7 linked regions of the Rattus norvegicus genome follow. The protein of the gene in region 1 interacts with the protein of each later gene in a pairwise test. Links are inferred from orthologs where the notes say so. Each region holds a gene or a part of one and is shown in the gene's direction. Other genes may lie near its edges.

Region 1 (3,500 bases):
CGTCTCTCCAGTCTCTGTTAAAATATTGTGTTTAAATTTTTGTCATGTTTTTCCAAGTTTTCTTGAGAGATTATCATATTTCATTTTGGGTTTTCCTTCTGAATGTCGAGCATATAGTTTGTAAAATTAGTCTAGCCTCATGGAACGTAAGAGTTTTGGAAAGCATTAAATTAATAGAGCTAAGCACATCAAGAATAGCTTATGCTGTTTTTATTATTAAAACAGGTAGTTTTGTTGGGGTTTAGCATTCTCTTTTCCATTAAGTAAGCTGATGACACTGGTAGAGTAAAAAAAATTCACATTTGGTCTTTGTCCCTGAATCGTGGCTTAAAAAGTCTTGTAAAACCATTATTGTCCAGAGTATGAGGGATGGCCCACATTATTAGCTAGCCAGGAGAAGTGTGGGCAGATAGCAATCAACTTTAATTGCCGAAGCCTTTGACAGAACTCTAAAACAAGGCTATGGGAGCTTCTGGACTAGCAAACATCACCATGCCAGGAGGGTGCTGAGCCTGCAGGTGGAGGCCCTAAGCCCTCACCTGGCATTAGTTGGTGTTGGAGAACCAGAGAATTGGTGTTAAGCATGCAGGTTATCTTATCTGTTTGTGTTACCTGATCTCACTCCTCTTTTATAGTACCTGACCAAGCAGGTGGAGCTTCTACGGCAAATGAATGAGCAGCATGCAAAAGTTTATGAGCAGTTAGATGTTACAGCAAGAGAACTGGAAGAAACCAACCAGAAGCTAGTTGCTGAGAGCAAGGCCTCACAGCAGAAAATCCTGAGGTAAATTTCTAACTCTTACAGGGGCAGTCTACAAAGGAATTAGTATAATTCGAAGTACAATGTGCCTATAGAAGGTTTGGGCAGTCTAGGATACGGGGTTTTTCTGGAGAAGGAAGATTAACTGTAAGTTCTTTCCAATTAAGAAAGCCAAGTTTGAGTGGCTCACACCTAATCCCCTTCATTGGTTTTGATCTTAATTTAATTTGACAAGCAGTGACTGGCTTCTGTTTTATTCACAGCTTGACAGAAACAATTGAATGCCTGCAAACCAACATTGATCACCTCCAGAGCCAAGTGGAGGAGCTGAAGTCTAACCAAGGAAGAGGGAGGCAGAAGGCATGTGACCAGGAGAGACCAGCACCAAGCTTCTCCTGTCTGAAAGAGCTGTACGACCTCCGCCAGTAAGAGCCTGCCTTGCTGTGGATTTGCAGACTGGGACCAGCCATGTCATGACACGTTCTAGATCACAGTAGATGGAAAGCTTCATTTCCAGGATCGCCCCTCAGCTGCTAAACCACCAGTGGTTTAGACAGAGCTGCTGACCAGAAACCTATCAGGGAGCGTTTCTGGGTGTCAGTAATTTTATGAAAACAGTTTTTATTTTTTTTTTTCATTTTAATTTGTTAAATATTAGTTTAAAATTAGTAATACTTCCATTGTAGTACAGATTTGGGAGTTGTATTTCACTTTAGAATGAAAGAAAAAATGGAACCTAGAAGCTAGATTTGGTAGCTCAAATTCCAGCACTCAGGAAGCAGAGGCAGGCTCTGTGAGTTCTAGTCCAAAACATAGCAAGTTCTAGGACAGTTAGGACTATACAGAGATCTTGTCTCAAAAGACAAAAGGAGTATTTTCACCTAAAGAAATAAGTAATATATAGTGTTGACTTTGAGTCTTTAATAATGCTTACTAAACACCTATTATACTGCAGTTGATATCCAGAATTGATGGCCAAAATGGACATGCTCTGTGTCCCCCAAGCCCTTCATTTTAATGGAGAGCTCGATGCTCCATAACCAAGACACAGATAGGTGCGAGCTGCCCCAGACTGAATAGGACAGAGGCCAGTTTGTACGTCTCACACTTTGCTTTTTCTCACATTACTTATGGCGATTTGGGGCTTTTGAGATAAGGTCTCATTCAGCCCAGCTGGCCTCAAACTCCTGATGTCCCAAGTGCTGCTGAGATTACATGTGTGCATCCAGCACTGGCCATGTTCTCCAAGGGCAAACACTAACTCTCCTCAGGTCAGAATTTCTAGGTGTGAACCTAAAGCTGCCCCGGTGGTTCTGATGTGGATCTGAGGTTAAGGTCCAAACATTGGTTTCCTCAACCTTGGTTTCACATTATGGAAAACATTTTAAACTCCATAGGTCCCGGCAGAAGACCAACAGTGTCCAAACCAATGGTGTGAGCGCTAGGTTTTAAGATCACCACCCAGCTGATAGTGACCTCCAACTAGTGACGAGAATCTCTGCCCACCATATTTCCCAGTAAGCAGCTGTATTCTGCTGGTCTTGGAGTGGGTGTTCTATACTACTTTTAATATTAGGGGGAAAAAAGTCACAAAAACTGTATTTGTTTGCTTTCAAGAATTTGCCAGCCTTGGGGCTGGGGATTTAGCTCAGTGGTAGAGCGCTTACCTAGGAAGCGCAAGGCCCTGGGTTCGGTCCCCAACTCCGAAAAAAAGAACCAAAAAAAAAAAAGAATTTGCCAGCCTTATGTAGCGTCATATACCCACTGCTTGTAGAATGGAATGGGCTAAAAATTGATGTCGTGGTTCTTAAAGACTTAGTTGAAAAGCAGCCTCCTTCGCAGTGCCAGTTGACCTTTCTGTATTTCCATGTTTCCTCAGACACTTTGTATATGACCACGTGTTTGCTGAGAAGATCACTTCCTTGCAGAGCCAGCAAAGCCCTGATGAGGAAGAAAACGAGCACCTGAAAAAGGCAGTGACGATGTTGCAGGCCCAGCTGAGTCTAGAGAGGAAGAAGCGAGTGAGCGTGGAGGCAGAGTATAAAGTGGTGCTGAAGGAGAACAGCGAGCTGGAGCAGCAGCTGAGTGCCACAGATGCCTACCGAGCCCGGGCACAGGAGTTGGAGGCAGAGGTGGCCGAGATGCGGCAGATGCTGCAGGCAGAGCATCCTTTTGTGAATGGCGTTGAGAAGCTGGTACCCGACTCCCTGTTTGTTCCTTTCAAGGAGCCCAGCCAGAGTCTGCTGGAGGAAATGTTCCTGGCTGCTCCAGAAGCACATAGAAAACCACTCAAACGCAGCAGCAGTGAGACGGTGCTCAGCAGCCTGGCGGGGGATGACATCGTGAAGGACCATGAGGACACTTGCATCAGGAGAGCGAAGGCTGTGAAGCAGAGGGGCATCTCCCTTCTGCATGAAGTGGACACTCAGTACAGCGCCCTGAAAGTGAAGTATGAAGAGCTCCTGAGGAAGTGCCAGCAGGAGCAGGACTCACTGTCACACAAGGCTGTGCAGACCTCCAGACTACTGACGAGGGACCTGACAGGGCTGGTCCCGCAGTCTGAGGCCGGGGCCAGTGGCTGGGAACCCACCCCTGTAAGCCCAGAGCCCATCAGTTCCCCCACCACTACACCTCCAGAATACAAAGCACTATTTAAGGAGATATTTAGTTGCATCAAGAAAACAAAGCAGGAAATAGATGAACAGAGAACAAAATACCCCTCCCTCTCCCCTTACTCGTA
Region 2 (4,298 bases), on another chromosome or scaffold:
GTTGCAATAGTTGATGTACTGGTACAGTGGCCGCAGGCGCTGGGCTTTTCCTGCAAGAACCCAAGGCACAGCAAAGGCTGGAGCACCAGGCTGTGCCACGTCAGACTCAAAGACAAAGGGAAAAACAAAAGCCCAGGGATTGCCACTCACGCTCCAGCCCCAAGGTCTCTGTGGGTGCAGATGCGCTGGCCACAGCTGGGGGCACAGGAGCCCCTACACTCTTGCGTTTCTTGGCTTTTTTGTGCTGTTTAGATGACAGCGAGGATTCACTGTGGCTGCCTTCTGGCTCCTCCTTCTGTAGCAGCAGCCCTGGTGGCAGTTCGGCCTCTGCCCTAGGATGGGCATGGTAGCTTTGCCCTGGGAGGGCTGGGGTACTCAAGCCTGGGACAAGAGGCCTGAAAGAGGTAGGCTTCAGTCTTTGGTTCCTGTGTCTTGAACCTAGGGCTTACCCCTGCCTGTCCACCAAGCCACACTAGAGCTAGTTAACTGTCCATTTCTTAGTGAAGTTCCAAACCCAACAGGGGCCCAGCGTTCAATGGTAGCTAAGTCTCCTACAAGACTAAGAAGCCCCAAATCCACACCCCCGCCCCAACTGTTCTAGAGAAACAGGAGCTGGAGGTGAGGGCATTAGAAGAAAACAAGGTTCTTTGCCTTGAAGGAATTGGGATTTAGGAATCTCCAGGTCTAAGACCCACCTCCCCAGCCTTTCCCCTTGAAAGCCCTCTCACTTTCTCTTGGGCCCATGAGCTGGCCTCACGATGGATGATGTAGGCTTGGGTCCTCTCTCCTCTCCTGCTTCCACCCCTGGATTGAGCCCTTCCTCTCCCAGGTTTATTCCTTCCTCCTGGAGCTCTGGCTCTAAGCTGTGTCCTACTGGACACCTGTCTTCACCTGGAGTGCTGCAGGTCTCGTGTGCTGGCACCAGACACTCTTCTGTTCCTGGACACTAGAAGACATACATAGGTAACTGATAGCCCATGGTCAGGCAAAGCCCAAAGCTGCTGCAACTGGGGCATCTCTCTTGGTTTGGGGGCCTCTCCTAACTACATATTGGCCACAGAATAGGAAATCTTAGGTCCCTCTACCTGCAGGACTTGGCCTGGCAGTTAGAAGGTTGGGTCACCTAGAGTCCTGCTCTTCTGCCCTACCCCTCCTCCTCCTGAGCTTTGAAATGCCCAAGTCACCTCAGGGATCTCTGCAACCTGGGCTAACCCTACTGCTGCCCCATTCTGGGCTTCTGGCTGCCTCTTGGCCCCTGCTGAGGCCATGGCAGGAATCAATGCATCCCTCGACGGTTGCTCAGAGAAGACCGCAGGCCCAGAGCAGGGCTGGACCGGTGCTCAGTGTTGGTAGGGGAGACAGGTTGAGAGGTAAGGATCCTGTTGCGACCCGAGACTTAGACTCGCTCCTCATCTGGAACTACAAACCCCAGAAGGCATTTCGCCTTAGTCATTTGACCCCTGACCTCAGGAAGCCATTTGTTGCCAAGCAACAGCAACTCCTACCGACTTGCTACAGTTGGCGGTAAAACTGCTGCAGTGAGAGTCCACGCTGGGGCTTTGCAGGGGGAGGGGCCGCGAACCCCTCAGGGCCGTGTGCTAGTCGCGGGGCGGTGGTACGGGCTGAGCTTAGGAAACGAGCGGTAGTCGAGGGGTGGGGGTCAGTGATGGGGGGTACCACGGGGCTACAGAGCTCGGGTGGAGGGTGGAAACACCCGACAGGGATTAGAGGGGACATTTGCACAGCGCAACAGGTCCTGATGCACAGTTGCAGGGCTACGGTAGGATCATGTGCGAGGGCCCGTCCCGCATCTCTGGACCCATCCCCCCAGACCCTACTCTCTGCCCGGACTACTACCGGCGGCCGGCCTCGGGTGAGTTGCGGGGTGCCGCGGCGGGGCGAGTACCCCGCCCCACCTCTGAGCACGGCTTTCCACCGCGTCTTGCTCTTCAGCCCAAGGACGCCTGGAAGGAAACGCGTTGAAGCTGGACCTGCTGACTTCAGGTCGCGACCTGGACTCCAGCCCTCCTCGTGGCCCTCGCATCAGGCCTGGAGCCCGAGAGATCCTAGAGCGTGGCCAGCGAGGTGTGGGGGACGTGCTGCTGCAACTGGGGGGCATCTCCCTTGGTTCAGGGGTCTCTCCTAAGAGTAAGTCCTTGCAGACGGGGTATTGAGGCATTCATAGGTCAAAAGCAGAGATTAAAATAGGGTGCTTCTTAACCGCCTTGAACCCATTCAGTTAATGTGTTTTTCTGGGTCTTAATTTCTCTAGCCTAAAAGAAGGGCAAAATACTTCTTGCAGGATCAGAGTTCATCCTTCTGCAGAGAGCTCCAGCTTCAAGCTTTCACACCTTGATAGAACAGTTCCCTTAATGCCTACTTTGTGCCAAGCCCTATGGTTGTTAGGAAAACAAGGTTAAAAAGTATGGGAGTTGTCCCAGGGTAGGGTAACACCCAAGGGGGGCTTCCCCTTCACTGAAGAGAAGGGAAGGGGGTAATAGGGAGCCGGATATGACAGGGGCAGGACTGGGGTGGGGGTTACAATTGGGATATAATGTGAATTAAAAAATAAGGGGCTGGGGATTTAGCTCAGTGGTAGAGCGCTTACCTAGGAAGCACAAGGCCCTGGGTTCGGTCCCCAGCTCCGAAAAAAAAAAGAACCAAAAAAAAAAAATAATAAATAAATAAATAAATAAATAAATTTTGGGGAAAGAAGTAAGGGAGTCAATAAACAAGACAGGACATATGTATAATATACTCGGTGATATCATAAAATGTAGAAGGTAATCACAATTTCTGTGTAAGGGAATAAGCTGCTAATGTTGCTGTGTGTATGGCATTCAACTTCCATGTAGAGGTCTTGGTTGTATTTAAGAACTTTGTGTGTGATATTGGAGATTGAACCCAGGGCTTCTCATATACTGGACATCTCCCAGGGGTAGGGTGTGAATCTGTATGAGATCTAGTCTGAGTTGCACAGCCATTCGTAGGGCTGTTCCTAGCAACATTCCTCCCCTCCTCCAGGGAAGGATCCAAAAGACCATGAGAAGGAAAACTTGAGGCGGATCAAAGAGATTCAGAGGCGATTCCAAGACCAGGAACGCAGCCGGGAGCAGGCCCAGCCCAAGCCCCTGAAGGCACTGTGGCGCTCACCCAAGTATGACAGTGTAGAGTCTCGAGTCAAGGCCAGGATGAAGGTATCTGTCTCAGGCAGGCGGACATATCCATCTTGGCCAAGGCAGTTATATCTAATCTAACTTACGGGGTGTGTGTGCGTGCGTGTGTGTGTGTGTGTGTGGTGTGTTCACAAAGACTAAGACATCTGGTGGACCTTCTCTGAGGAACTGATGGCATCAGGGCAAGTGAGGATTAGGCTAGAGGAAGAAAAGGTTCCCCAGAGATGAAACCCCACAGGTAGGTAAAAGTTCTGGGCTCAGGGAGTAGGGGCAATGGGCATATAGATATAATTCTATTTGTAGGGGGAAAGCAGAAGGTTAGAACAGAAAGCCAGTTAAATACATATCTGAAAGAACTACCTAAGTTACTTATCAACATGTGATATTGGAGATTGGATCCTGGGGCACACGCACACTGGGTACTCATAAAATTATATCCTCAACCTTCCTACTAATTCATTCTCAGTTTCTCTGTCTCTATCTCTATGTTTCACGTAGCCCAGGCTGACCTCAAGTTCTTTGACTTTCTGATGCTCCTTTGTTCACCTACCAAGTGCTGGGATCAAAAGTGTGCGCTACCACGCTGCTTTCTCTCTTCTTTTTCTTTTAGTTAATTACTTTTTTGAGATTAAAAAAGACCAAAATTATGTGTCTGGGTGCCTGCATGTATGTCTGTGCACCACAGAGACCAGAAGAGGGTGTGGATCTCCCGGAACTGGAGTTACAGAGAGCTGTGAATTGCCACATGATACTGGGAATGGAAGCCACATTCCCGGGTAGAACATCCAGTGTCCTTAACTGTTGGGTGCTATCATACCCCACCACCACCACCACTTCCACTGCTACTTTGTTTCTAGACAGGGTCTCACTGTGTAGCCTAGTCTAACTTCAAACTCCTGTAGCCCAGGCTGGCCTTGAACTGGCATAATTCTCCTTCCTGTCTTAGCCTCCCAGATGTGGACAAAATGGGTTTGGACCACCACTCCCAGATGATTTCTCTCTGAGTTGGTAGCTTGCTGTTTAGCCTTAGGCTGTCCTTGAATTCTCTCTGTAACCTAGCCTGGCCCCAAACAGTTACTTCTGCGTCAGCCTCCTGAGTCCTGGGACTGTAGGCATGTACCA
Region 3 (4,030 bases), on another chromosome or scaffold:
TCAGTAGTGATTTATATTAAGCCAATTACAAAAGAATTCAAGATCCTCTAAACTTGTTTGAATTAGGGGGTTGTTTTCAAGTAAAAACTTAAAACTGTCATGAAACTGCTTTTAGAAGCACCCTTAACAGAAAACGCCTGGAGTTAACAGGATAATGCAGAAAAATTTCCGACTCCAGACATAATTGTTGATACATGAGTTACACGATATGACAGGTCAGACTTCAATTAAGATTGGACTATCATGGCTGCAAAGATGAAAGTCAGGTCAGAACCAAGGAGACAACCCACACAAGTTTTTCTTTCTTTCCCATTTCTAATAAGGCTGCAGATAATACCTGAGCCTTGGGGTAAGGATTAGGACCGGCATTGGGGGGGAACTCCACCGAGGGGGCAATGTTGACATTTTCCTCTTCTCATGACCTTTAACCTAGATGTTAATTCTGCCAACTGGGGCAACTCCAAGGTCGGCAAGCCAGGGTCCGCCAACAGGCGCTGACGGCATTGACCTTTGCCCTAGTTTAGCCTAAGAAAACAGACAAGGAGAGAGGTGTTTGCAGTACCCCAGGTGTGGCCCCAGTCTCTTTTGTCCCAACTTATCCACCATGCTCCATCTGTCCCCACCAGGAGTTTCATCTCACCAGGGCAGGACAGCTTGGTTAGTCGCACCAACATGTTCAAAGTGACCCGGAGACTTGATCAGATACAACAGAGAGAGGCGGGTCTGTGGCTTGAGGACGGCGCTGGACTTCTAGGCCACGAGGGGCGCCATCACCTGCCAAGAAGCCCCTACTGCTCAGCTTCTGTCAGCCTCTGGGATCTGCTGATCGCCCTTGCTTCGCGGCGTACCCGCCCCTCTTCTGCTTTGCGCCGGCGCCACAGAGGACACGATACCCAGTAAGGTTTCCGGGTCACGTACAAGCGAGGAGAAGGCAGAAGACTCCATCTCCCAGTCATCCTCATCCAGGAACCTAGTGTACGGAAGAGGCCCACACGGTCTCGCATGTGCGCGTGCGCACTAGAAGCATAGCGGGGATGAGTCGCTCAGCATTCTGGGAGTTGTAGTGTTCAGCTCCAGTGTCTCCCGATCCGGACCCGAGGTGTGCGCAAGGAGTGCCTGACTTGATATCTGATTGGCTGTCTGGGAAAATGAAAAGTACTTGTGGTCCAGGGCAGAAACAAACGAGAAGATGGGGCGGGACTCCGTGTGGGAGGAGGCGGAGCCTGTGGGCTTTGGGCGCGAGCGGTCGAAAGGCAGTTGGTGAGGGTTCGGTTGCTCGGTCCTGTCCGGCGGTACCAGCTCAGTCCCATGGCTGATTCTGAGGAGTTTCGGGCTTCTTCGCCACCGCCGCCGCCTCCCTCGTCTCCGTCGTCAGGCGCCTCTTCATCGTCCCTCAGCATGCCAGTGAGTTTGGGCTGGCGGGGTCCGAGCCGGAGCCACGGTCCAACGGTGGACCCGCTGGAGCAAGTGGAGCTGCAGATCGGAGATGTGAGTGTGGCCGCTGCGGCCGGGAGCTGCTTGCAGCTAGGGTGCTCCTGCCTGCAGTTCTTGGAGTTGAGGGCTAGCCTCGGCTCTCTCCGTCCGCATCTTTCTTTCCTTCTTCTGCTTGCAGTCACCCACAGCACCGCTACCGGGATCCTCTCTCCGCCTCCTTCCATCCTTCGGAACATTTTGAGCAGGGACTTGAGCCTGCGCTTCTTGGTCATCAGCCCAGGGCTAGCTGGTGATGCTATTTATTGTGTGTCGCATACTTGCTCTGTGTTGGACTTGAGTGGACCAGGGCTAATCACAGCCGGCAGCCGAGGTCATTGGTTTCACTGATGGTTAGACAGAACAGATTAGACATCCCTGTAATGCAAAAATTACGGGATTTTTTTTTTCAATCTCGAATTCCCAAAAATCACTTCCTGACTCCCAACACATATGACACTGAGGTGGTTGGAGGGTCACAGCGTCACTTTATAAGGACTCTTGAGAGGGAGAGAGGAATGAAGTATGTAGCGGACAAACTTTCTGGGAGAGCGTTGTGGAATAACCACACTAAAGATTGGAAACTAGAACTGGTTGACAGGTTTTTACTGTTTCATCAAAAGAGATGGCTAAAGTGCTGGTCCAGGTTTTTAATTTTTTTTCCCAAAACAATACTGGTTGCAGATAAATGTGTAGAATAAATGCTGATGTGATATAAAAAAGTGTTACTTTATATATTTTTGGTGAGGAAAACATTTGATTTAAAAGTGAGTTTTTCATAGCTGTGTGTGATGTTAGATGTTCTGTCAGCTCAGCTCAGAATATCAGTTCTCTGATTTTTTTTTTTTTTTTGTAGTTCAAAAATAAATGTTCATGGGTGAAAATAGTGGAACAGAGCTATTCTTACCCAGTTGCCAGCAAAAGTGGTTTATGAGGAAGTCCTTTGGATGGCTCTGTTACTTTTAGTCAAGAGGTTTCCAGATTGCCTTGGTGAAGTATACAGGAATTGGGGGGTGTTTTCTGTTAAAAATACTGACTTGTCATATTTAGTGGGTGTTTTTATGGCAGGTATGTTTCCTCAATATGAAATTTTGTTTCCTTGCATAATGAAAAAAATTTAGAGGTTCTGCGTGTAGGTCAGGTAGAGCTATGTGTCTCCCATGTTCTGAGACTTTGGGTTAAAGAAAGAACCAGTGTTTCTTTGAAAATTCCTTCTTTTAAAGAAAAACATGTGGGCCTTTGATTGAAGGTTTTAAGCTATATTTAGACTATGAAGTTAGACGAGATTTTAAAAAAATAAGCGTGTATGAGGTCCAGAGCGTGGCTCAGTGCTAGAGGTTCTGGGTCCTCATACCATAAACAAACCCATTTGACTTTTTTCTTTCATTAAATTTCAGGCGGCATTTTCATTAACTAAACTCCTCGAAGCCACATCTGCAGTATCAGCTCAAGTGGAAGAACTTGCCCTGAAGTGTACAGAAAATGCACGTTTCCTTAAAACGTGGCGAGACCTCCTGAAAGAAGGCTATGACTCGCTGAAACCCGACAACTAATGCCTGGCCCAGAAGATGCTGGCACATGGACCGCATGTGTGGGGCTGCCCGACTCCAGACATTTATACTGAGAATGAAACTCTTCTTAGTATTCTTGCTCTGTGAAAGCAGAATACTGAACTCCTCTTATTTGCTTATGCGTTTTCCCTGATATGACAGTGTTTGCCTTAAGTGCTTTCTGCCCTCTAAGCTTCTGTAGTCTTCCTTTATGAGAGCTAATTCCATCAGTAAGTAACTGTCATACTAGAGAGAAGATGACAAAAATGCTTGAGTTGGGAGTTGACCCCGGTGTGTCTCTTGAGGCAGGCGATGAAGATTTCAGGAGCATGGTCCAGCCCCACAGACTTCCCTTATCCCAAATCCCACAGCCACCCCCACAGCACTCACTATCTGTGAATAAGACTCGATGAGTATAATTGAAGGAAAAATACTCTTTTTTTTTTTTTTTATGGGAATTTGACATTTTTTTTGCCTTGAAGCAGTCTCCCTGTGAAGGCTTCTGTCTTAGTCTCTTGAGGGCCAGGACTTCTGGTGTGCAACACCGTGCCCAGTAGAAAGTTTTGAATTTTGATGATGATTTTAAAATATATTTTTACTCATTCTATGACTATTTTTAAAAAAGCTTTTACTTCATAAAATGAAAACTTTTATAGAATGCATACTTTTTTTTCCTATTTATTTTTATACTTAACTGCTTCCATAGTTGATATTTCTCTTGTTGGTGTTCTATATGTTCAATTGCTGTCTTTGAAATATCAAATTTATGGCTGTATGCTAAGTATTATTAAATGGAGCTTTGCAAGTTATTTATGTAATTCTAAAGTTGGTTTCCAGTGTCTAACGTTTAACCGTTTGTATGGGTTTGCTGTCAGTTGACCTTAGTGTTAAGGTTCCAGTTTATCTGTACTGTGTTTTATGTATTTAGTGCCATCTGTCTTCAAGCCATGTACTACTTTGATACATAGGAGTTTGAAGTATCTTTGATGTGATGTCTGTGTCGATACATT
Region 4 (3,978 bases), on another chromosome or scaffold:
CCCCACTCACCCACCTTCACGGGAGCTGCTCCTCCCACTGGGATAGCTGGGCAGATCTGGCCCAATAGTACTACACAAAGATGTGAAAGCAAAATAAGAAAAAAACAGGCCATAATATAATTTGGGTAATGTCAGAGGTGGTTGCTTAGCGGGCCACCCACTTTCTCCTGGGGACTACCTCAATCCTGGAAGACTCACCGTCACCCCGTATTTGAGTGCTAATCCAGCCAGGGTGTCTCCAGGCTCCAATTGATGCTCCAGGCGTCTTTCCCTCACTGGGGAGCAGGATGATTGTACCAGGCTTCCATAAGAACGAGCACGGCTCCCACGTAGCAGCCCTGACCCTCCGAGGGGAGGCTGTCTAGAGGGCGAAGCCATCTCCTCACTTCCAAGATCTAGGGTCACAACTGAGGAAAGCCCAGCTAAGTGACCAACAGTGACGGCTGAACCCAGAGAATGGATATTCAGAAAATTCTTTTTCTCTTTTCTCTTCAGTCTCCCGACTCTCGAGAGACTACATTCGTCCTCCTCCTCTCGATGCTTCTTACGGAGCTCGGAATTACAGTTCGTATCTTAAGAAGTCTTCCAGGCCGGTTACATTTCTTCTTCCTCAAGCCCCTTACCCATAAATATCTTCCCTGAGTTGTCAGTCGCTGACCCCGTGGACTTTCGACGCCCCCTCCCCAACTCCTCGCAAGCCTGATCTCTGACCTTTGAACCCTAGACACCCTCATTAACACTCTTCCCTCAGTGTGTCCCTACATCCAACAGTCAGGACGCCGGGAGCCCCCACATCCTCTCTGTTCCAAATAAAACCCACCCCAGGTAGGTTGTGGCTGAGGAGGACGAGCCTGAGGACTACAAGTTTGCAATATAGAGTCCACTGAGATCCCCCGAAGCCTCCCTCCACCTCAGGAGGGTCCCACCCTGAAATTCCGGCTCCACGTACAGGATCTTGGGTCTCCAAACACCTGGATCCTTCGAGATGCGAGGACCTGTGTCCAGGTGAGCGGTGTTCTCTCCAAAAAAATTAAAAAATAAAATAGATAACCAAAAGACTTCATTTCCCAAAAGGCACAGCGTCCAGGCAGTATCATAGGAAATACAGATCCCCTCAGGGCGCTGGAGGCGGGTCTTCCGGCTTGCGCGATGCATGCGTGGAAAAGCATCCCCGGAAGTACAGACTCAGAAAGAAACCGGAAGCAGAGAAGGCGATAGTGTACTCTTCCTACGGTGGCCTAAAGGAGCAGCGAAGTAGGCGTAGAATTTATCATATTCTCATAGTCGCGATGTCTTTTAAGAGGGAAGGGGACGACTGGAGTCAGCTCAATGTGCTCAAAGTAAGCCCTAGTGAGAGTCACCTGATCACCTTCAGCCGCCCTGTTGCTTTGGTTTGTTGCTTTGGCGACATCTAGGGGAGGGTGTTAGGGGACCAGAACTGAGAGGTGACCCCATTTTCTACCCTATGATCTGCATGGCCCCGTGCCATTTGACTCCTCTGTATTATTTAATATCCATCCGTTCCTCTCATTCATTTCTTCTATCCTGCTTCCTGCAGAAACGAAGAGTTGGAGACTTGCTAGCTAGTTACATCCCCGAGGATGAGGCGCTGATGCTGCGGGATGGACGGTGAGAGCGAAGAGTGGATCAAGCCTGGGGATTCGGGGATCAGAGGCTCAACAAACTTTTGTTACTAAGGAGTTCAGGAGTATAATAGTATTCTTTGGCTGGAAGTGAAGGGGTGGAGATTGGGAAACCTGGGAGTTGGAGGAGTGCTATGACAGAAGTAGGATCTACTCACCATAGCAAGTACACCGCGACTGCAGGCTGGAACACAAAACACACGCGCACACGCACACACACTTATAATTCACTTTTCTTGTTTCCCTAGCTTTGCTTGTGCCATCTGCCCCCATCGACCAGTACTGGACACCCTGGCCATGCTGACAGCTCACCGTGCAGGCAAGAAGCATCTATCCAGTAAGTTAAGAGAAGTAGGGAGGGCGGGAGATAGAGAATGAACTCTTGACATTTTGGCAAAATCTTTTCATTCTCCCTTGCTTTTCTTCTTCCTAGGTCTGAAGCTTTTCTATGGAAAAAAGCAGTCAGGCAAGGGAACAGAGCAAAATCCACGACCGCAGAACGAACTGAAGACAGAAAGCAAAACTGAGGTGAGGGCATCAGTGTTGTTTAGACGGGGCTATACTGCACGCAACAGGCATGAGGGGCCATTTGCTTCTGACAGCTTTGACTCACTCTCTTCTCTCATTGTCAGGCTCCTTTGCTAACCCAGACTCGAATAATCACCCAGAATGCTCTACACAGAGCTCCCCACTATAACAGCTGCTGCCGGAGGAAGCACAGGTCAGTGGAATGAGAAAGCCAGGAGTGGAAAAGGGTAGAAGCAAATAGATGACTTTAAAGTTATTACTCTGCAAACTGTCTTCTGAGAAATACTAATCTTGTGGAAATTTTTTTTTAATGACAGTTAATGATTTTAAAATAAAACTTTAGGAAATGGAATATTGTAGCATAATCCTACTTAAAAATAGTAACATTAAGGGTTGGTGAGAGAACTCAGTGTTTAGGAACATAAGGGGCTCTTCAGAGGTCCTGAGTTCAATTCTCAGCAACCACACAGTGGCTCACAACCATCCATAAAGGGATCCGATGCCCTCTTCTGGTGTGAGGATGTACATACAGACAAAGCACTCATATTTAAAAATGCATAAATAAATACATTTTTATAAAAAGAGGGGGCTGGAGAGATGGCTTAGTGGTTAAGAACACTGACTGCTCTTCCAGAGGTCCTGAGTTCAAATTCCAGCAACCACATGGTGGCTCACAACCATCTGTAATGAGATCTCATGTCCCCTTCTGGTGTGTCTAAAGACAGCTACAGTAGACTTATATATAATAAATAAATAAATCTTTAAAAAAAAAAAAAACTAGTAACATTAGCAGGGAATGGTGGATGGTAGTACACTTTTTTGTTCCTTTGTTACTGAGACAGGGTCTCTCTTTGTTGCCCTGGCTATCCTGGAACCCTGCTATTTAGACCAGGCTGGCCTAAATTCAGAGATCTGCCTGTCTCTGCTCCTCAAATGTTGGGATTGAAGGTGAGCAGTTCCATGCCTAGCTTTGGAAAGTCTTAATACAAAAACTTAGAACTGTATTTGTCAGGTTCTCTAAAGTCACAGAATGTATAGAATGTCTCTCTATAGTGAGGGAATTTATTGTGGTGACTTACAGTCTACATTCCAACTATCCCAAAAAAGGGTAGCTGTGGATGGGAAGTCCAAGACCCTAGGAGTTGCTCAGTCCCATGAGGCTAGTTGTTTCAGCTGGTCTGCTGTGGACGTAGATTCCAACAGATGTGCTGGCAAGTCAGTGCAAGCAGGTGAAGAAGAGTGAGTCTTCCTACTTCCAACGTCCTTATGTAGACCTCCGACAGAAGGTGTGGCTCAGATGACGGTGTGGACCACCACTCCTGGATCTGGGACTTGCTTTGTTCCAGGCTGACCTTGAACTCAGAGGTCTCCTGGCCCGTCTCCTGGGATTAAATGCCTGTACTACCTTGCCTGGGCCTAAGCTTTTCATGGCCACTGTGGCTCAAGATCTCCATGCCAATATCCAGATCAGATACTTGTGTCTTCCAACCTCAAGATCTGGATCACAGATGTGCCCTCCAATTCTGGATTGTAGTTCATTCCGGACATTCTCAACTTGACAACCAGGAATAGTCATTACAAACTATTAAGCTAGTTTTTCCTTAAATTCCTTTTTTCCCTTTTATTTTTTATTTTATGTGCATTGGTGTTTTTACTGTATGTATGTCTGTGAGAGGATGTCAAAGGTGAAGTTTAAGATACTTGTGTGTTGCCATGTGGGTGCTGGGAATTGAACCCAGGTCCTCTGGAAGAACAATAGCCAGTGCTCTTAACCATTGAGCCATCTCTCTGGCCCCAGCTTTTCTCA
Region 5 (4,121 bases), on another chromosome or scaffold:
CAGTGAGGTCAGACTGAAGGAACAGTCCCATCAAAGTCTCCTTGGTGAACCGATGAGTCGACCAGGGTTGGTTATCAGTCAGGATTCACTCACAGGGCCATCAAAAGCTCAAAGGCAGCTAGGTCACTGAAAACCGGAATCCAGCTAAGTGACCACTCACAAAGTCTGCATCCCTGGAGCTTCCAGCACAACTTGCAGGCAGCTCCACTGAAGAGTCTCTGTTGCCCCAGCAACCCCTTAGGTCACTCACTACCTTGAAGAGGGCCCTCGGGAATCTTCTGGATCTCACAACCCTCCCTCTAATGCTTCAGTTCAGAGTAAATGGCTACACAGTAACAGGGAATGATCAGAATCTAGGGTTACCTCATCACGTTTAGTGTATTAATTCAAGAATCTTTTGATTACCAGTTTGATAAATTCCACTCGGGTTGGATATGGCAAGATATGAACTTCATGGGAAGGCATCAAAACTAGAAACTCAGGAAGCAGAGGCTGGGGCATTAGCCAGCCATGTGTCTTCGTCTCCGTTCCTGGGTGTCCGCTCCAGCGCCGCACATTTTCCCCTATTACACAGGCTTCTTCCAGGTGTCAGGAAATGTGATACTGCAGCCATAGTCTGAAATCCTCCTGTCTAAAGGAAGAACTGTGACTTACCTGGAGTGGGATTCCATTCTTAGTTACACACGCACACACAGAGACACTAACACATATACATAAATAAAAAATAAAATCTTTAAAACTGGCTGCAGGTGATGGAGCGCGCCTTTAATCCCAGCCCTTGGGAGGCAGAGGCAGGCGGATCTCACTGTGCGTTGGAGGCCAACTTGTTCTACGTAGTGCTTTCCAGGACAGCCAGGGTTTCATAATGAGACTCTGTCTCAAAACAACAAACAAAACAATAACATCCGCATAGCTGTCACTAAGTGCGTTTCATCAAATAGGTATAGTACAGTGAAGGGACTTAAAAACAAACAAACAAAACAGGTCTAGGAGTCAGCAAGGATCCTAAAAGTAAATGGGGATGAACAGTTCAGCAGAAAACGTGACGAGCTGGAGCAGGGAAAGGACCGCAGCGAGTGCTGCAGCAGGATGGGACGTGCACCGCGGCCTCGCCAATTTCCTAGCCACTGAGAAACCCAGGAAGGAGTTATTTCGTCGCTATGTCTACAGCAGGAAAAACGATGGATCGGTGGCGCCTAGCCAGAGTGGTTAGGAGATGACACCGGACCTAGAAGGCTCTCGGGTCAAGCCGCGGGAGGAGGCAGTTCCTGCGCGGAGAACCGAACCGGCCCACGTGAGTCAGGCCGCCCCGCCCAGCCGCGCAGACGCCGCTGGACTCCGCAGTCCGGGCTGGGGCTGGGACGGCTGTGCCAGGACCAGGCAGCCGCGCCACCGCGCGTGCACGCGCAGGTCCAGGACCCACCCCCAGCCTCTACAGCGAGCAGGCCCCGAGGAACCATAGCAAACCCCGCAGGAGCGGGCGCCTCTAGGCCGTGAGTCCGGGCCCTGATGGAGTGCTTGGGGCCCAGCCGCCTGAGGGTGGATTGGGGAGCTGCCTCTGCAGAGATCAGGGTCACTGTGCTCTCTGTCCCCTGTGAGGCTGCCAATCCCCGTGCTACAGTCCCCTCCCTTACCCCTACACTATAGATTAGCTGGGAGGAGAGGGGGATCCTGATCTTGGGATGTCTGGATTCATTTCACTGACTTTTTGAGCCTGGATGCTTAACCCCACTGTCACCCCACCCCACCCCAACTTTCTTTGTAAGCCTGGCCAAATTTAGGAAATTTTTTTTTTTTATTCTTTTTTTCGGAGCTGGGGACCGAACCCAGGGCCTTGCGCTTCCTAGGTAAGCGCTCTACCACTGAGCTAAATCCCCAGCCCCTAGGAAATTTTTAAAATAGAGTATGTATGTGTGTATGGGGCGGGGGGGGATTGGGGGTGTCTTCAGGCCTTTTCTTACAAGCCAAAGGGGTGGAAACATCTGTCCCAACCTCAGTCTCCATGACTTCTGCCTATTGCTGGGTGTGGGGAGGCTCCCTGCCACCTATAGGGGAACCTTCCTAGTGGCTGCTTGATTGACTTAATGGTATGTTTCACTCATGAGGCCTCAGTTCTTCCTTCTGGTCATAGACGTGTGGTCAATGGAACGTCTTGTCAGTTCATACTCAAAAGCGATTATTAGGGAAGAGAGAGAGGGAGAAAATCAGCATGGAGCAAACTGAGTCCCATGAACATGTACCAGGAGCACTAGAGGGGAAGGGACAGACTTGCAAGAGAGGCTTGTCATTGTGGGTTCAGGAGACAGGGGTTCCTTAGTGTGGAGGAGGAGAAAGAGACCAGCGCTTCAAGCCCTGGGTCTCTGCTGTAGCCGCCTTCTGGCATTATTACTGTCTTCCTAAGAACAGGAGCCCCACGGTAGCCCCTTAGTCACTCTCTGCAGGTAATTACTGATACCTGCTATGGCTGGCTGGGTTTGCTCTAGAGCAGAGGTTCTCAACCTTCCTAACACTGCGACCCTTTAAGACAGCTCCTCATACTGTGGTGACCCCCAAGTAGTAACTTGTTGCTACTTCCTTTTTGTTTGTTTGTGTTTGTTTTTGTTTTTCCGGACAGGGTTTCTCTCTGTAGCTCTGGCTGTCCTGGAACTCGCTCTCTCTGTAGACCAGCCTGGTGGTAGAACTCATGAGATCCACTTGCCTCTGGGCTCAAGCACTGGGATTAAAGGCGTACATCACCACCGCCCAGCTTCTGTTCCTACTTAGTAACTGTAATTTTGCTACTGTTATAAATCGTCATGGAAATGTGGTTCTCTTATGGAATATATCTGTCCATATCTATACATCTACATACATGTAGACATATGTTCCTTTTGAAAGTATAATTTGTTATTTAGCTGAACGTCTTTTTAAAAAACATTAGCATATCTGTGTATGCACACGTGCATGTGGGTGAACAAATTGGCCAGAAGACGAGGTTGGGATGAAGCTAGCCATACAGGCAGTTGTGAACCACCTGACTTGGGTGCTAGGAATGGGACATAGATCCTCTGGAAGAGCAGCCAGTCCATTTAACTGCTGAGCCTTCTCTCCAACCCAAGTTTGTATTTTTAGTTGGAGGAGGGTCAGTGGAATGGCTGTGACAATCACTTGGGTCAAAATGACCAGAGCTAAAGGAGAGTTTGACAAGATGTGGACAGTGAGGTGGCCATGGGAGGAGGGTGAGTAGTCCAGGTCCTCCTAGGCATCTGGGTGGCTAGACTCAGCAGAGTGTCCTGCCAGAGGACGCTGCAAGGAGAGCTGTCTGGATGTGTAGAATTTGAAGAACCGGCGGTAGGTCACAAGGTTGAGTAGGGGTTGAATCTGGGCTGGACACGGATCTGAGAGTTGCTTACACATGATGGTTCTCGAAGCTGTAACAGGATGAAGTGACCTGGGGAGAAGTTTGTAGAATGACGAGATGGGCAGCCTTAAAGGGAAACCCCGCTCTGTGAAAGCCACGAGGAGGTTACTGGGCTCAAGGTTGTCATTCCATCCTCTCCTGCTGTGACTCATTCTTCTGCTTCTCCTTCACAGTCCAGATGTTTGCTGCTATCCAGCCAGGACTAGCAGAGGGGGCCCAGTACCTGGGGAGCCTGCCTCCTGGAGTATGTCACCCGGACCTCCAACCAGACAGTAATTCCAACTTCGTGGAGAGCGCTAAGGATGCTAATAAGAACTGGCATGGTGTGGATCCTATTCTGATAAGAAGCTCCTCTGAGTCGCCCTCTGATAACCGGGTCTTCCAAGCCACTGGGCTCCCTGAGGCCGGAGTCCGCAGTCCCCCGGAGGGTGCAGAGATCCCTGGTGCTGAGCCAGAGAAGTCGAGTGATGCCAGCAGCGTCTGCTCTCCTCTGGAGGACATCGGCTATGCCAGCAGTTCCTTGAGCATCAGCAGCTTTAGCAGCAGTGCAGAAGCTGGCTGTAGCACCCCTCGAGGTCCAAGCCCCCTGGATCCCCTTCTGCCCTCTGTGGCCCAGGCCGTGCAGCAGCTGCAGGCTCAGGAGCGCTACAAGGAACAGGAGAAGGAGAAACACCATGTGCATTTGGTGATGTACCGTCGCTTGGCGCTGCTCCAGTGGATC
Region 6 (4,065 bases), on another chromosome or scaffold:
TTGTCCTCTGCCCTCCACACTTACACACACACACACACACACACACACACACACACACACACACACACACGCACGCCCACACGCATGCACGCACGCACAAATAAATGTAATATTTTTTTAATATTTAGAAAACAGGGTGTTAGTACAGAGATGGATTGGGGGGGGCAACCTGCACACATCTACAGTTCCTTGTCTGAACAAAAATTTTTTGGGGTGGGTAGAAAATCTCCATCTTCCCTCGAAGTGTCGTCCCAGGACACACTCCAAAAAGAGAGGTAGTCATTAACATGACACCCAAAGGAGACAACATGCTAAAACCAGATCTCATTTCGAGTCGAAATTAGATTGAAAAATTAATCTGTAGACGGAAGATTTATAACCGGTTAATAAAGGGGTTGAGGCTATTGGGGTAGATTCTCCATCTTCCTGATCGTTGCCATGGAGATGTCCAACAACCCTTAGAGAAAAACGGTACTTGGAGGGTAAAACAGTATTTCCTAAGTACGACTTCTCAGTACCTCGATCCTCACAAGCAGAAAGAGTAAGACCCGAAGGAGGGATTACATCACGAAGTTCAGTTAGCGGAAGAGAGGGAAACTCTGATCAATCAACTGCTATTCATACAATAGTTCCCCGCCCTGGGGTCTGGCCGGAGCTATCGTCTAAGAAATTGGGATCCTAAGGGAACAAGGAGGGGGCTAACCACCCTGGGTGCCATTGAGGTCTCAAAAATGGTCTCCATAATTACATGAGACCTTACTTAAGACTAATGTATATAAATGTTATGGTTTCTCCTTCCCTCTCCCCTCCAGGAAAACCCCAGAACCTCAGCCCATCAAAGGCAACAGTCCCATCTCCTTCTTCCCATTCCCAGCAGGTCTTTTTCTTTTTTTCTTTTCTATTTTCTTTTCTTTCCTTTTTTTTTTTTTTTTTTTTTTTTTTTACCTGGTTCTCTGCCTCCGGGGAGTAGGAACTTTCAGCCCCGCCTTCCTGCCCATCTAAGCCCCGCCTTCCCGGCCCACCTGTGTGCCCAGCCCATGACGTTGCCGCGGGGCTTCAGCGGCCGGCAGGATCCCGGATCCTTATTGGTCCATCCGCTCACCGGCCTGCACAGCCCACCAATGGCAACGGCGCTGGGCGGGGGGAGTGCCCACATCCAAGATGGCGCCCCCAGGAGCTGGGAGCGGGTGACCGGCGGCGGGGAAGCGGCCTGGGCTGGCCCTCAGATTGCGGGGTCCCGGGGGCCTGTCGCGGGGCGCCCCCGTGACCCACTGACCAGGCCTTCCCCCGGGCCAGAGCGATGGCCGCCGAGAACAGCAAGCAGTTCTGGAAGAGGAGCGCCAAGCTGCCGGGGAGGTGAGTCCAGGACGCTGAGGGGAGTGGGGATTGGACCCAAAGCCTTCCAGATCTTGATCTCTGAATCCCGCCGTCTTGGGGCGCCCCCGAGGCCGGAGGGCTGGTGTCGGGGTAGCCCAGGCTAGAGCAGCTGTCAATCAGAGGAGCCTGGCCAGCTTGGGTGTGGGGTGCAGTCTAGGGTCTGGGGGCGGGGAACCTCAGCTTGGAGGTGTCAGGGAGCCCGGTGTGAGGGGCAGAGGAGTTGGGCGAGTTGACATTGTCAGTCTGGCCTTGGAGGGCCACCTGCAGACCGCTTTCGACTTTGTACCGAACTACTCAGGGGTCTCCAACAGCATGGGTGGCTGCCTGCATGAGGGTGGATGGCCCCATGGCCTTGGGTCCCAGTCCATCACCTTCCTGTTTTCTTTTTGTACTCCCCAGGGGTTCTGATGGGGCAGGCCTGCAGGGTATGAGCAAGGGAAAGTGAGGGGGAATTCTCAAGCCTGACCTTACTTTGTCTTGAGTTGGTCCTTTCTCATTAGAAATTATTACAGGGTGGCCACAGGGTGGAGAGTAAGTTACTTCTGACATTTTCTAATCACTTGCGCAATCCCTGAGAAGTGATGTGCTTTTAGTGTAGATGCATTAAATTCTCTGAATCCTCAGTTTTGTTGGAGAGCAGGCCTCCTGAGTGACTGACTTATTTTCTTAGTGTTTCTTTCTCTTCTTGGTGTATGTTGACATTCTGAACAATTGTCTGTCTGTCAGTCAGCCTTTGGATTACTGGCTCAGTTTGTTTTGGGTGGTGTCCTGAAAAGTGAAAGCCCTATGTGTTTTCACTACTGGGTTTAAGATTTCTGCCAGTCACAGGCTGCTTGGTGTTAGAATTTGTGTCTGATCATGGCCCTCAAGTGTTATCTTTCCTTAGTGATTTGCCTGTAAGTCTTTTTGTTCAGGTGTACTCCTTTGACTTGTGACCTCGATCTCTTACCCTCCTCCTTTCTCTCCCCCCTCTCTCTCCTCCCCTTCTTCCTCCCTCTCTTCTTTCTCCCTCTTTCCTTCTCTCCATCTCTCTCCACACTATTGAGGACGCTCTACCACTGAGCTGCACACAGCCCCCTCTCTTTAAGTGAAAGAGAACCGAGAGTCAACCTTGGCTGTGTAACTTTTCTGAGCTGTCATTAGACACGTGGAGAAAGTTTAGGGACCAGGTTTTAGCAACTCGTATTAATATAATACCAGGGGAGGCAAGGGTAGCTTTGGTTTGAAGTGCTGTGGGGGTTAACGGTGTTCACACATTGAACAGTGACACCGTGTTTTTAGATAAGCTCCGCTTCCTGCCACTGATTTCTTTTTCCTTCCTGCTTGAGCGAGCTCTCCAGTCGCGCTGACTGCTCTTCTCTGGGAGTTTGCTACAGAGGGATCATGACAGTTTGATATCCTGAGATAATAATCGGTGGGGGGAAAAACTGGTTACGTCAGGAAGCAGGGGTGAGGGCAGTGGGAGATGGGCGATCTTTGTGCCTTTGGACGGCCAGATGTGGTGCACTAATGGTCTTTTGTTTCCTTTATTTCTTCTACTGGCCTATGGGAAGTCAACTTTTTAAAAAGTACTACTTTAAATAATTACATTTATTTATCTGTTTAATTAGTGTGTGTGTGTGTGTGTGTGTGTGTGTGTGTGTGTCTCCAAGGGTGTGCACTTGTGCATGTCACAGTGTTCAAGTGGAGGTCAGAGGAGGACAATTTACAAGAGTCAGTTCTCTCCTTCCACCATGCGGATCTCAGGGATTGAACTCAGGTCATCAGGCTTAGGGGGAAGCATCTTTATCTGCTGAGCTGTCTTGACGGCCCAAAAGCATTACTTTTGCTGGAGTAGGTGGACTCTTCAGTTTCTCCAAAGCTCTGGCTTCCTCTTTTCATTTTGAAACGTGGAGCCTTGGCGGCGAGAATTTTGGAGTCCGGGTCATCATGATTTATCATTGTTGTTATTATTTTACTTTTATCATCATCGTCGTTCAGATCCTCTTACCTGCAGGAGTCGCAGTCTACCTCAGCTTCAGTTTCCTTCATAGGGGAATAAAATCTCTTCCCTCAGAATCATCCGAAGGCTAACGGGAATGCCCTATTTGTATAGAACCCATTGTAAAGAACCTAGGACAGCGTTTATTTGCTACACAGTACTTGCTCCATAAATAGTCATTATTAATTACCCCCTCGTTATTAGAGCAAGCAAACATTTAAAAGGATGTTTCTCAGCTCCCAGGACTAGTTATTTGTCTTTTTTATTATGGAGGCATAAAAATGTTGCCATGATCCATAAACCACGATCCATACCTTGCCTGGCCAGGGGAGTGTTATCCCCTGTACACGCTCGTCAGAGAGCCCCAGAGCTCAGGGCTGTTGGGAAAAGCTGCTGTTCGTTCCCATAGAAGGCATTTTGGTTCCAGAACAGAACTTTTACATCTGAACTCTTCCCAGTCTGTGGAAGAGGCGTTTCCTCGTGATTCAGCCGATGAACTAGCTAGTGCCAGGTCCTCAGAAGTGTAGAAAGAAAGTTACTTTTCTCTTCTTTGCAGTTTGAAAGGTGAGAAAAGTGTAAATTGTAGCTGGTTACTTTCAGTTTCTTTGATCAGGATGGAGAGACCTTAGTGACAGCTGGAGTAGAAATTTTGTTCGAGCCTACAGCCTACATTCCAAAAAACAACAACAACAACAACAACAAAAAAA
Region 7 (4,003 bases), on another chromosome or scaffold:
CCTTCATACCCATTATTTACTATTTCATGATCCTAAAACCATCAGCTTACAGGGCTTCAGTCTGTAGACAGGTCTTGTTTTTGAGTTGGCTTACACCAAATCCCGTCACAGAACTAGCTGTCATTCCGACGGCTATGGATCCCTCCCCACCTCTAGCTTTTCAGAACCAACCAGTACCCATCAGTTCCTGCAAGAGGCAAGCTCAGCCAAACCAGAGGAGGCAGGGAAGGTGAGGTGATGGAGACCTCGCAGGGGCGAGCAAGGAAGGGCTGGTAGCAACTGCGTCAGAAACAGGTTCAGTGGAAGGCGAGCCGCATAATGTGGAAACTACTGGAACCTTATGGTGGGGACAGGGGCGCTACTTCTAAGTAGTGTTACGTTGCAGGTGGCTGAGACTTCACTGAAAGACCATCCGAAGCGGCCAAAAACCTAAGATCGATCAGGAGGCTGGTGGGGTTGAGCTGGGAGGGTGTGGTCCCTGTGGGTTCTCCCCCTCCAAGCCTGCGGCTAAGCTAGCTGCAGAACCCCAAGACAAGCTACCCCATCACTCACTGGTCCGAGTGACAGGCATTTCCTATGTCTAGCGTCTTACTGGTCAGTCGAGAAACAGGAGGGCGGGACAAATAAGTATTCTCCCTCTGATTGGTCAACTCGTGAAATTCTTGTCAATTAGAGATGAACTGCGTTCTCCGCCATGTTGAATAGCACGCTGCATAGCCTGTCCTTTTCTTGGGCTGGTCACCCAACGCCCGTTCTTTCCTGTTCCTCTGTGCTCTAATATGTTGATCCAGTTAATAAAAACGCGCTTTCTGCGTATACCGCGAGAAGTCCTCGTTCAGATAGAACGAAATAAAGCTAGAAACCAGAGAAAAGCTCAGTCCCTAGCTGCGGATCTGGGTGTCATTCAAGAGAATCAGTAATAGTCCCGGTGCTGATGAGATTCCATTGAGCAAACTCTCTTGAAGACTGCGTTTTACTTTAGCTTACTGTGGTAGTCATTAGTGTAGATTCGGATAGTTATGCTTCTAGAATGCCCCGTTAAACCGCAGGATTGTATCAGAAACCATCATTAGACGTTAGCTGGACTCGGGGCTCGCATTTGTGACAGTGAGAAAGGACGTTGCCTGCGTTACGGTCCTTCGCCACCTCCTGTAGCGTCCCTAGTAACCGTGCCCCTAGTAACCGCTCTCCCCAGCCAGGATCTGCGAGCGAGGCGGCGGCGCCAGCTCACCCGCCCCGGGCCGGCGCGGGCGCTCGGGCTCGGAGGCGGGGCGGTGGCTTCGCCGCACTAGGCTATCAGACTGGCTGCTGCCAACCTCCACCTGCCCGCAAATCCCATCACAGGAGCAAGGGCCTCCCAGTACGAACGCGAAGACCCCTTATAGTTCTTGGTAGCAGCGGCGTTGGCGGCGGCCGTGGAAGAGAAACAGAAGAAAAGGATGTGGCAGATACGGGCGTCGGTAATGTGGGAGCCCGGCGGGGTCTGGGGGCTGTCCGGGTCCTCACCAGCAGGGACGGGTGGAAATGCGGTGTCCTCTGCAGACCCTTCCTGCTCTCTGCTCCAACTAAAGACTAATGCAAAACTTTCTTGGAGAGCATTTTTATAGCTATTTCTAGAGTGTGCACAGAACAGAATTCTACTTATTTATTCTCCAGCATATCTTGAGAATAAATATTCTTCAGTTTTTTAAATTTTTTTCTATTTTTAATTTTTGTTTTTTCCCTTGAGGAAAACTGATGTGCCTATCTATAGTTTTCATAAAACCTCAGATGATAAGTTGGACTGACAAGTGTATTTTATCGGTTTTGGTTAGTAGTGGATTTTAGCAGTCCTTTAGGAAAGCCTGTTTGAAGTTCAGTGGACAGATGCTCCATAGATATAGAGAAACATCCAGATAAATCCCCGAAATCCCAAAGTTTACTAAAGGGGCCATACGGGTGCAGTGAGGTCTTCTCGCAAAACATTTTCAGTATTATGTCCTGGATGCATTTCTAGCAGGAGGGCACAGTCTTCCTCTATCCTCTCTACTTCTTTTCCATATACATATGGATTATGGTTTATTTATTTTATACATATGAGTACACTGTCGCAGTCTTCAGACACACCAGAGGAGGGCATCAGATCCCATTACAGATAGTTGTGAGCCACCATGTGGTTGCTGGGAATTGAACTCAGGAACTTGGAAGGGCAACCAGGGCTCTATCCGTTCTATTCATTTCATTTGTTTGTTTTTAGATTTATGTGTATGAATGTGCGCAGTGTGAGTTCCTGGGAGTTCCTGACGGTTGTGATGGGGGCTGGGAATCAAGCCTAGGTGCTCTGCAAGAGCAGCAAGTGCTCTTAAGCCATTGCAGCATCCTTTTTAGTTTGTCTCTTGAGACATAGCCATGGCTGTCCTGGAACTCAAACTCACAGAGCTCTGCCTGCCTCTGCCTCCTGAGTGCTTGGTTTAAAGGTGCATAGTAAAATGCCCAACTTTTATTCACTTAAAAAGTCTAGCACTCTGCTGGTGTAAAGCACCAGGAAGGAGCATGTCTGTGTGTGTGTGTGTGTGTGTGTGCACGTGCACATGTGTGTATGTGTCCCCACCCCAACCCCTGCCACTTGGTTTCTTAGCAGTGCTGGGGGTGGGATGAAGGGTTTGTGCTTTAGGCAAGTGCTGTACTAACAGCTACAAACTTGGTTTTTGTTTTATTTTAGACAGGGTCTCCTTTGGTTCAGGATTGCCTCAAATTTGCTGTTAAAATCCTGACCCTCCTGCCTCCATCTTCCCAATACTGGGATTCAGGCACCGTGGCTGGCCTGTATCAGCTCTTTCAAGGTTATGTAAAGTAGACAGAGGCCCAAACCACCAGAATCCTAGGACTGGTTTATACCTGATAAGGCTGCCATTCAACACAATCTATCAAAGGTTACAGAAGGCAGAATGCTGGAATGGAGGGAAGGAGTTGGATTCTGGATCAGAAGCCATTGTCTGCTACTCGCTGGGTGATTATAGGACATGACTTCTGTTTCTCTGTCTGTAAAAGGACTATAATCGCCCCCATCTTCTGTTAATAAGAACCAGAGGAGAGAATGGGTGTCATTTCTAGAGAGTTTACATAAATTCGTAATTATAACTGCCAGCTTGAACAATTCACTTGGAAACTGACATATACTCTGGCAGAAAGGTCTGTCCTTTGTATAGTTGTGCTTAGGTTCCAAAGTGCCCTGCTCACTGAAGATTTGTGTTATAAGTGGAGTTTGGGTTTCCAACACCCACATACACACCTGGTGTGTTGGCTTTTGTGTATAATCCCAGTGCTTCGGGAGGAGGAAACAGGCAGATTCCTGGAATTTGCCGAAAGCCCCATCTCAAAAGATAAGATGGACTAGGGAACTCACCCGAGATCGGATGTTCCTGCAACTGATGCTCACCCCTGCACAGGCTGGGAAACTCCTTCTGCTCTCCTTTCCCCAGCCCCGCCCACCTGGGAGAAAACTCAGGCTAACACATCATCACTCCTCTCCGAATTCCAGACAACCTGCCCAAGAGTGCCTCCCCGGGGGCTCAGATTCTGACCACACGTGCACACCAACCATCCCAGCTCCTAGCTAGCAGATCTTCACTCCTCACAAAGCTCTGTAAAACCCCCTTGCTTTAGCCTGGATGTGACGTCACCGACCTCCACCTGTGAGATCGATGAACCCACCCAAGAGCTGCCCCCTAATAAACCTGCCTTTATCCACTTCTAATCCGGTCTAATCCAGCCTGTATCTGTGTCACCGAGGGGAGAAAAAGTCTGTCATTGACCTCTGGTGCACACACACACACACACAGGCACATACACACAGGCACACAGAGACAGAGAGAACCTCAACATTTAATAGAGACATCAAAAGAGATTAAGGATTAGCCACCATAGTAGGAGGCCTGGAACAAGGCCCAGAGGGTCCCACATTCACTGAGAGAAGCAGTGAGGTGAGAAGTCAAGTGCTTCACATCAGTTCCCTAAAAATGAA

Evidence for each region.
Region 2: the proteins of Cdr2 (region 1) and Enkd1 interact in binary tests that used the Homo sapiens proteins (3 or more experiments, as listed by UniProt). The two-hybrid records come from large-scale screens. The link is inferred for Rattus norvegicus from reciprocal best matches to the Homo sapiens genes CDR2 and ENKD1.
Region 3: the proteins of Cdr2 (region 1) and C2h4orf46 interact in binary tests that used the Homo sapiens proteins (3 or more experiments, as listed by UniProt). The two-hybrid records come from large-scale screens. The link is inferred for Rattus norvegicus from reciprocal best matches to the Homo sapiens genes CDR2 and C4orf46.
Region 4: the proteins of Cdr2 (region 1) and Scnm1 interact in binary tests that used the Homo sapiens proteins (3 or more experiments, as listed by UniProt). The two-hybrid records come from large-scale screens. The link is inferred for Rattus norvegicus from reciprocal best matches to the Homo sapiens genes CDR2 and SCNM1.
Region 5: the proteins of Cdr2 (region 1) and C5h1orf216 interact in binary tests that used the Homo sapiens proteins (3 or more experiments, as listed by UniProt). The two-hybrid records come from large-scale screens. The link is inferred for Rattus norvegicus from reciprocal best matches to the Homo sapiens genes CDR2 and C1orf216.
Region 6: the proteins of Cdr2 (region 1) and Tbc1d22b interact in binary tests that used the Homo sapiens proteins (3 or more experiments, as listed by UniProt). The link is inferred for Rattus norvegicus from reciprocal best matches to the Homo sapiens genes CDR2 and TBC1D22B.
Region 7: the proteins of Cdr2 (region 1) and Fam161a interact in binary tests that used the Homo sapiens proteins (3 or more experiments, as listed by UniProt). The two-hybrid records come from large-scale screens. The link is inferred for Rattus norvegicus from reciprocal best matches to the Homo sapiens genes CDR2 and FAM161A.

What each region holds. Positions count from the first base shown.
Region 1 is NC_086019.1:184,935,037-184,938,536, reverse strand, and holds part of Cdr2 (cerebellar degeneration-related protein 2), read left to right. Parts: intron 1-635; coding exon 636-784; intron 785-1,023; coding exon 1,024-1,185; intron 1,186-2,639; coding exon 2,640-3,500.
Region 2 is NC_086037.1:50,503,617-50,507,914, reverse strand, and holds the start of Enkd1 (enkurin domain-containing protein 1), read left to right. Parts: upstream 1-1,498; 5' UTR 1,499-1,788; coding exon 1,789-1,873; intron 1,874-1,953; coding exon 1,954-2,148; intron 2,149-3,024; coding exon 3,025-3,197; intron 3,198-4,298. Other genes in the region: C19h16orf86 (uncharacterized protein C16orf86 homolog), read right to left, coding at 1-77, 151-395, 729-946, 1,185-1,268. UniProt on the Homo sapiens protein: Microtubule-binding protein which regulates microtubule organization and stability. Promotes the stability of astral microtubules and facilitates the proper orientation of the mitotic spindle.
Region 3 is NC_086020.1:167,059,911-167,063,940, forward strand, and holds the start of C2h4orf46 (renal cancer differentiation gene 1 protein), read left to right. Parts: upstream 1-1,230; 5' UTR 1,231-1,308; coding exon 1,309-1,488; intron 1,489-2,867; coding exon 2,868-3,023; 3' UTR 3,024-4,030. Other genes in the region: Etfdh (electron transfer flavoprotein-ubiquinone oxidoreductase, mitochondrial precursor), read right to left, coding at 641-674.
Region 4 is NC_086020.1:185,391,023-185,395,000, reverse strand, and holds the start of Scnm1 (sodium channel modifier 1), read left to right. Parts: upstream 1-1,178; 5' UTR 1,179-1,289; coding exon 1,290-1,340; intron 1,341-1,392; exon of another isoform or gene 1,393-1,445; intron 1,446-1,558; coding exon 1,559-1,629; intron 1,630-1,891; coding exon 1,892-1,980; intron 1,981-2,076; coding exon 2,077-2,171; intron 2,172-2,275; coding exon 2,276-2,364; intron 2,365-3,978. Other genes in the region: Lysmd1 (lysM and putative peptidoglycan-binding domain-containing protein 1), read right to left, coding at 199-378. UniProt on the Homo sapiens protein: As a component of the minor spliceosome, involved in the splicing of U12-type introns in pre-mRNAs. Plays a role in the regulation of primary cilia length and Hedgehog signaling.
Region 5 is NC_086023.1:144,183,760-144,187,880, forward strand, and holds the start of C5h1orf216 (UPF0500 protein C1orf216 homolog), read left to right. Parts: upstream 1-1,321; 5' UTR 1,322-1,493; intron 1,494-1,958; exon of another isoform or gene 1,959-2,683; coding exon of another isoform or gene 2,684-2,768; intron 2,769-3,573; coding exon of another isoform or gene 3,574-3,578; coding exon 3,579-4,121.
Region 6 is NC_086038.1:7,619,561-7,623,625, forward strand, and holds the start of Tbc1d22b (TBC1 domain family member 22B), read left to right. Parts: upstream 1-1,265; 5' UTR 1,266-1,300; coding exon 1,301-1,356; intron 1,357-4,065. Other genes in the region: Tmem217 (transmembrane protein 217), read right to left, coding at 946-998. UniProt on the Homo sapiens protein: May act as a GTPase-activating protein for Rab family protein(s).
Region 7 is NC_086032.1:101,209,491-101,213,493, forward strand, and holds the start of Fam161a (protein FAM161A), read left to right. Parts: upstream 1-1,203; 5' UTR 1,204-1,439; coding exon 1,440-1,460; intron 1,461-3,846; exon of another isoform or gene 3,847-4,003. UniProt on the Homo sapiens protein: Involved in ciliogenesis.